Linked DNA regions of Coturnix japonica. The protein of the gene in region 1 purifies or fractionates together with the protein of each later gene. This does not show direct contact. Links are inferred from orthologs where the notes say so. Each region holds a gene or a part of one and is shown in the gene's direction. Other genes may lie near its edges.

What was found. Proteins that work in one complex are often made in the same cells at the same time.
Region 2: the proteins of L3MBTL2 (region 1) and WDR5 purify together in Homo sapiens (affinity purification with mass spectrometry; 4 studies listed by BioGRID and IntAct, counting the BioPlex papers as one, with this or other methods). This does not show direct contact. The link is inferred for Coturnix japonica from reciprocal best matches to the Homo sapiens genes L3MBTL2 and WDR5.

The regions. Positions count from the first base shown.
Region 1 is NC_029516.1:45,392,521-45,396,508, reverse strand, and holds the start of L3MBTL2 (lethal(3)malignant brain tumor-like protein 2), read left to right. Parts: upstream 1-1,178; 5' UTR 1,179-1,261; coding exon 1,262-1,309; intron 1,310-2,423; coding exon 2,424-2,730; intron 2,731-2,910; coding exon 2,911-3,044; intron 3,045-3,366; coding exon 3,367-3,490; intron 3,491-3,800; coding exon 3,801-3,880; intron 3,881-3,988. UniProt on the Homo sapiens protein: Putative Polycomb group (PcG) protein. PcG proteins maintain the transcriptionally repressive state of genes, probably via a modification of chromatin, rendering it heritably changed in its expressibility.
Region 2 is NC_029532.1:5,725,698-5,729,217, forward strand, and holds part of WDR5 (WD repeat-containing protein 5), read left to right. Parts: intron 1-777; coding exon 778-833; intron 834-951; coding exon 952-998; intron 999-1,800; coding exon 1,801-1,876; intron 1,877-2,422; coding exon 2,423-2,456; intron 2,457-2,937; coding exon 2,938-3,012; intron 3,013-3,299; coding exon 3,300-3,387; intron 3,388-3,520.

The DNA.
Region 1 (3,988 bases):
CAGAAGACCTATTTTGCATTTTGAAATGAGAACTATTGTTTGGATATGTGATATTAAAAGATCCTATTTCACTTGGAATACATTGTTCAGCTTTTGGCACCAAAGTGTGAGCCTGAGAGAGAACCTGGTGTGGATATTCTGTAGATGCTGTGCTGCAGTAGCTGATGGGTGCCCCATTAATGCTGTTGCACCCACTTATGGGCTGCTTGAGGTCACTTAGCATGGAAAGGCTGAAGTGCTCTTGATCTCACCTGACAGCAGTGCGTGCAGGCGGCTGCCTCTTAATTCAAGCACATTCCCCTATTTGGGGGATGTCCTGTACAGAAATGCTTCAACTAGGGAGCGTGTGTGTAGCAAAGCCAGTTGTGTGTGCCAGCTGTAACTGCATGCACGTGCTGTTGAACCTGGTGTGTCGTTCACTGCCTGCGAGCCATATGTGCAGAGTAGGCAGGGAGGGCTTCCCAGAGCACAGCTTTACCCCATGGGTGTGTGGGGAGTAACTTGTACCTGTGTTTTGTGCACCTGAAGATCTGGCTGTGGCCAGAGCACAGCACAGGCGTTGGGATTGTCCCTGTGTCCACCAAGCCCAGGTAATGACACGAGCAAGCTGCCTTCAGGAAAAGATGGATGGAAGATGATGGAGTGAGGAGCCTGTCTGCACGGGAATCTCAGTCAAGTGCCAAACAAAAGCCATGGTCTATTGCAAAGTGGACAGATGTTCGTGGCTGTATGAAATTTGGAATAAAAAGCTTGATATTCAGATACAAGTACGATGATTGGTCTAACACAGGAGCATAAGCTGTGAATAGAAAGGTGTATTTGATGGCAAGATGTCAGCCTGTCTTCATAAGGGAGGTGCTCCAGCCTTCTGACCATCTTTGTGCCCTCCTCTGGACCCCCTCCAGCAGCTCCCTGTCTTTCTTGTACTGGGGGCTCCATACCATGATGCAGTACTTAGATGGGGCCTCGCAAGAGCAGAGCAGAGAGGGACAACCACCTCCCTGTCCCTGCTGGCCACCCCTCTCTGATGGAGCCCGGGACGCCGTAAGGTCCCTGTAAGGCCGCCATCATGCTCTGGGCCACGCCCCGCCCCCTTCTAGCGGAAATAGAACTACGCCTCCCGTCGTGCCCCGCGGGGAGTGAGGCGGGAACAAGCTCTTCTCCGATTGGCTCATTTTCTTCCGTCTGTGGCCAATCGGGTGCGCGGCTGCGGGGGAGGTAGTGCTCCACGCGCGTGAGGCGGGCAAGCGTCCTGGGAGCCATGGAGCAGGAGCAACAGCAGCAACAGCAGCAACAGCAGCAAGGGGAGGTGAGCGGCGGCGGGGCCGGGGCGGTACCGCACTGCGAGAGGCCTCCTGCTGCCACAGCCGCGCAGTGCTCTGCAAAGCCCCGCAGCGTGGGCTGGGGGGGGCTGGGCCGCCCTGTGCTCCACGGGAGACGCGCGGCCCGGGCTGTGGCGGCCGTTTAACGGCTGCGGGGGGGCGGTTCGCCTCCCTGTGTGGAGCCCGATGTGGCGTCAGTGGGGTGTTGGGGGAGGGAGTGACGGAGGGGGCGCCGCCGGGGGGGGATGCATCGCAGCTTTCGGGCTCTTTTGGTTCCGGAGCAGCGATCCCGAGTTATTCGCTTCCTGCGAGCTGAAGGAAGGAGCGTCCGCAGAAAGGGCTGCGAAGGAGGTGGATTTGCTGCTGGTCCGTCATCACAATTCGTTATAAATTCAACTCTGGAGAAAGCTGGTCCAGCTGATGTTTAGTCTGTATTAGTTTTGTGAGCTTTGGTGGCCGGAGCCTGTAGCTCGGTACGCTGTGGAAAGCTCGCTGTGGCTTTGACGGCTTGAGGAGAGCCACTAAGATGATCCGAGGGTTGGGCACCTCTCCTGTGAGGAAAGGTTGAGGGAACTGGGCTTGTTTAGCTTGGAGAAGAGAAGGCTCCAGGGAGACCTCATTGCAGCCTTCCAGTATTTGAAAGGAGCACATAAATAAGAGGGAGAACAACTGTTTGAGTCTGGACAGTGATAGGACAAAGAGGAATGGTTTTAAACTGAAACAGGGTTAGAGATGAGGAGGTAGGTTTTCACACAGAGGGAGGTGACACACTGGAACAGGTTGCCCAAGGAGGCTGTGGATGCCCCATCCCTGGAGGCATTCAAGGCCAGGCTGGATGTGGCTCTGGGCAGCCTGGTCTGGTGACTGGCGGCCCTGCATATAGCAGGGGGGTTGAAACTGGATGATCTTTGAGGTCCTTTTCAACCCAGGCCATTCTATGCTTCTGTGATTCTTTAGATTTCTGAATCTGGGATTGTTGCGTGGATTTCTTGCACAGTCCAAGGCTTCTCTTGGGTCTAGACGTCCTCTCAGCAGTGAAGACAAGCTAGTAAACATTTGGCATAAGGTGTTTGTTTTAAAGCAGACTGGTTGTTTTGTCAGGCAGCGTCTTCCATTTGCAACAAAACTTCATCTTTGGAGAAGGCGGAGGTGGAAGGTGAGGAGGAGGAGGAGGAAGAAGAGGAGGATGATGACTTGGACATGTTTGGAGGCTATGACAGCTTCCGGAGCTACAACAGCAGCATGGGCAGTGACAGCAGCTCCTGCCTGGAAGAGTCTAGTGATGATGAGGTGGCAGATCGGGAAGTCAGAGGTCTTCCACTCTCCCCTGTGCACCAGCCACCCACAAGCCGGATCACAGAAGACAGCGGCTCTGAGCCAGGTAGTGCCCGTTCTCCTGTGTATGATGGTAAGAATGAGAGCTGGAGGAAACCAAAGCATGCTCTGGGAGCAGAACTGAACTGATAATGCATGTTCTGTAATACATGGAGGAGCTGCTATGTGTAGTGGGGATTTCCTGGGCTTAGATCTGTCACTTATAAAGCACTGGTCCTGCTGACTGCTTGTATCTTTGTGCTTTTCCACTCAGCTGTGTGCGAGATGTGTGGGATTGTGGGAACCAGGGAGGCTTTTTTCTCCAAGACCAAACGTTTCTGCAGTGTATCATGCTCTAGAAGCTATTCATCCAACTCCAAGAAGGCCAGCATTCTGGCCAGACTGCAGGTGAGTCAAAATCCCTCCTTCCCCAGGGGTGGAGTAGAAAGCCCATGTAGAGGGATGGATTTTTGCTGTCTTGTGAGGTCTCAGACTGCTATTACCAGTGGTTTATTTCTGCTTGAAGCCCCCAGAGAAAAGCATACCAACTGTGCAGTGCTGTTTTCTAGAAGCTGGGGAAGGGCATAGTTATATTTTATTTGTTGTATCTTCTGGTTCCTGAGAGCACTAATAGTAATCTGTAAATCATCCCTGGAGAGATGTGTGCCTCCTCCTGTCCAGTTGCAAGCTTCTCTCCCTTCCTATTCCACTAATATTCCTTCTTTTGTAGGGGAAGCCACCAACAAAGAAAGCTAAAGTCCTGCACAAGGCAGCCTGGTCTGCCAAGATCGGGGCCTTCCTCCATTCACAGGGCACGGGGCAGCTCGCAGATGGGACTCTGACAGGCCAGGACGGTGAGTGTAGGCTAGTCATGAGGAGGTATATCTTTAGAAGGGGTAACTGTAAGACTAATAGCCCCATGCTTCACTCTGATTTCTCTGAGATGCTGTGGCCCCAGAGATACCCCCCCAGCTCCATTTCTCAAGAGCAAGTTGACACCATTTGTGGGATCTAGTTCCTCTTCAGGGAAAAGGCACTCAAATACAGAGTCCATGCTCTCTGGGACAGAGTGCTTTGCCCTTGTTGTAGCCCGGAGGTAACTGAGTACTGTGTGCCTTTTAGATAAACCTCTTTGCCTTACTTTCTTCTCTTGTCTGCTCCTAGCACTAGTCCTGGGCTTTGACTGGGGAAAGTACCTGCAGGAACATGGCTTCAAGGCAGCTCCAGTCAGCTGCTTCAAACACGTGAGTTCTTTGCTGTGCCTCACAACATGTGTGGTACACTTTGCATGCACTGGACTCTCCTGTGCTGAGTGGAGAGAGGCCTGGGGAGAGGGTTCTTGAGCACTGCTT
Region 2 (3,520 bases), on another chromosome or scaffold:
CATCTGTTGCTTTCTTGTTCCAAGCAATTGCTGAGGTCTGGAGCTGGATGGTTTCAGAGCACACTCCAGTCTTGTTAATTCATCTTGTGAAAATGGCTTGGATTGCAATCATATCCCTTCAAATGAAGGATTAGAAGGTGTTCAACTCTTAATATTTTTGAAATGGAGGAAACACTGAAAGAATATTCAGCCTCAGTTGTGTTAAACGATACCTGCTTTAATGTGATTGGTCTGGTTGTTCTATTTTACCTAGGAGACGTTTCATACTTATAATGCACATTAGTAGTAATTATTGCTTTAAATTGCAGCATTTTCAGGTGTATTTGAAGGCAATAAGTAGACCTCAGAATATGTGAGGCTATATATGGGGTGAAGTTCCATGTCCTTAAAATCTTAAGGTGTTATCCCCAGGTTAGACACTACTATAAACTGAGCAGCTAATGGTGTCTGAGCGGAGTATCTGTGTGTTCGTGTTAAGGTACTGCTCTTAGCTTCTGAGGAAACAGACATGTCAGTTCCTGATGCTTGAATGTACAGCTGTAGCTACCAGCCATTTCCATTTATGCCAGGTGAACTCAGTGCAGGGGGGAAGAATTTTGTTCTGATCCTATTGCCCATCTAAATTCACATCTACTGTTTGAATATCATTGACTTTCTGCTTTTATCCATATGAACTGCAATGTCAGCATCGGGAGGTGAATACTCTTGGTGGGGCGTAAAAATTTGATGCTTGTGAACAAAGTAAAGTTATTTTCCCCCTCTTTTATAATATTACAGGTGCATTTTAATCGTGATGGATCCCTGATAGTGTCAAGTAGTTATGATGGACTCTGGTAAGTGGTTGTTTCTTGTCTGCTTCAGTGTTCAAATCTATTGCACTTTGACGAAAGATTAATGATACTAATAATAAAGCTTATAGTGGTAGTAATGAGTCCCATATGTTTTTTATAGTCGAATCTGGGATACAGCATCAGGACAGTGCTTGAAAACACTCATTGGTAAGTAGGAATGCTTCTTGTTTGTGCTTCATTCTTTGTTGTCCAGCTGTGATACAGACATACTGCATCATCACAGTGAGCATTGACTTCCTTAACCTCTATTTTTCTGTTTCAATGCTGTTCCATTAGCACACTGTTGTCTTTGTAGCTATGACAGTTAATAGGAGCTATCCTCTTGCATATATGGGATCTTGCTTAACCTTGGAGTGTTCTGTAAGTCTAGATGCTGGATGAAAGACTTCCAAAGTTTTCTATCATTCAGTTCTGTAATGATTGCTGTGCAGCGGCTCAGAACTGTAACAACAAAAGTGTTTGTGCTGCTGGATATGATGGAAACAGTCTGTGACTGAACAAGCTGCCTGCTTTTATTGCTGATGACATAAGGCATCTTGTGAGCAAAGCTAATATAAGGAAACCACCTATAAGGCATATGTTCCCAGTCTTTCATATTCTTATGAAGTTTTTTATAAGTGCTTTATAAAGCTGACATGGCACTGCAGATTGGTGATAGATGTATACTCTGTGTTTAAAAAAACACTTTATTACAGATATGTTTTAGATGGAAGGAATGAAAAGGTCATTTAAAATGCCTGTGAGCAAAATGTTTAATATCCTTTTATTGAAATACTGGAAACAGTCACCTTCTCACACCTGTATTGCTTGAATAACCAAAGGATAACAAAACTGAAAGCTTTAAACAACAGATTACTGTCAAAAGAAATTCTTGGGCAATGAGACAATAATACTGTTCAACAATCACTTTAATAGGAACTATTTAACAATCACTTTATCTTCATTTCAGATGATGATAACCCTCCCGTGTCTTTTGTGAAGTTCTCCCCGAATGGCAAATACATTCTTGCTGCAACTTTGGACAAGTAGGTATTATAAAATAAATAGAAACCCACCATCTTTGAAGTGTTAATAAATATCAGATGAAACTTTAGTTTGCTGCTCGTTGCCTGTCATGATAATGACCCTACACAGGTGCATACATACTGCCATATTATATCCAAATAAAATTCAGTAGCTTGCTTATTCTCTTTCTATGATCTAGCTTATGTTTGAGCTGTCTTCAGAGGGTTTCAATCCTTTGTTTACTTGCCTGATGGATCCCAGTGCAAGACATAAAAGTTAAGAGCTGGGGGTAATGATTGTATTGGATGGGTATAATTGTAGGGCTGTCCCTATTTCCAGATGGGTTTCTCTTCCTGTGAAAGAATGCAGCCTCCATAAAGGGGGAAATTACGAATGGCATGTTGGTAACAACTGATACTTTGGGGTTTAACTAAAGCTGCATTCCAAAGCTGGGCTAAAGTGCCCCTTGTAGACTTTAAGAACTCGGGTATGGAGAAACTGTCTGCTACTAGGAAACTGCTGATAAAACACAAGAACTCAATCTTTGGTTTTCTGTTCTTTTCTAGCACTCTTAAGCTTTGGGACTACAGCAAAGGAAAGGTAAAAACAATCTTGTCTTGCTTTGTAGACTTAATATCTTGGAGAATCTGGGCTTTATATGTGTTTATTAACCTTGCTTTACATTTAGTGAGTTTTCAGCAAAAAAAGCATTAGTAACCCTTTAATGGGGTTCTTTCAAAGATACCTTTGGATGAGGGGGGTACAAAGGCTTGTGCTCCTGCATAGCCCCATAACACTGAAAGCAGCTGTGCTTCTGTGTTTCTGTCAGTCAGCATGAAATTTCTCTTGCTGGTTTTCTCTCTGGGGGAAGTGACAAATTGAGGCCTTTCTTCTTTTCCTTCTTAGCTGAAAGTTCTATAGTGTTGTAGGGCAGAGATGCCTTCTGCATCCTCTAGATAAGCTTGCAGGGTGGGAAGCCTGGGCGGATATATTTGATGTGCTGTGACAAGAGAGTTTGTCCGTGGCTGTGAGAAAAGCCACCTCTCAACTGTGCCTGTGCCTTGTGGTTCTTCTCTTTCAGTGCCTGAAGACGTACACAGGACACAAAAATGAGAAGTACTGCATATTTGCCAATTTCTCTGTTACTGGTGGAAAGGTTAGTGTTTATTTGGGCTGCTTTTTACTGACGTGCTGTTCTTTCTGCTGTTCTCCATGGGACGTGTAGGGCTGATGTGATGCCAAACATCAGTCTGCTATCTGAGGGTAGGGTGGTGGAAAGCATCAACAGAGGTTGAACTCTCGTATAGAACCACCTCAGCATCTTTCACTCCTTTAGCTGTGTTGGACCTTCCTTCTAATGTAGCGATAGTGAAGTGTTTGGTGAGTAGTTGCAGCTGGATATAGATGAAGAGAGATTAAAATGACTTTCCTCTCTCCCTCCAGTGGATTGTATCCGGTTCAGAAGACAACCTGGTTTACATTTGGAACCTTCAGACAAAAGAGATTGTACAGAAATTACAAGGGCACACAGGTAGGAAAGAGCGTTCTGTCTTTATTGATAGAATATCCTTCATGTCAGCTTGCAATGAGGGCTTAGCATTGGAGTTTTCTTGCTTCTGCTGTCAGACCTACTAAATCTTGCCTGGCTGAGGCTTAATCTAACC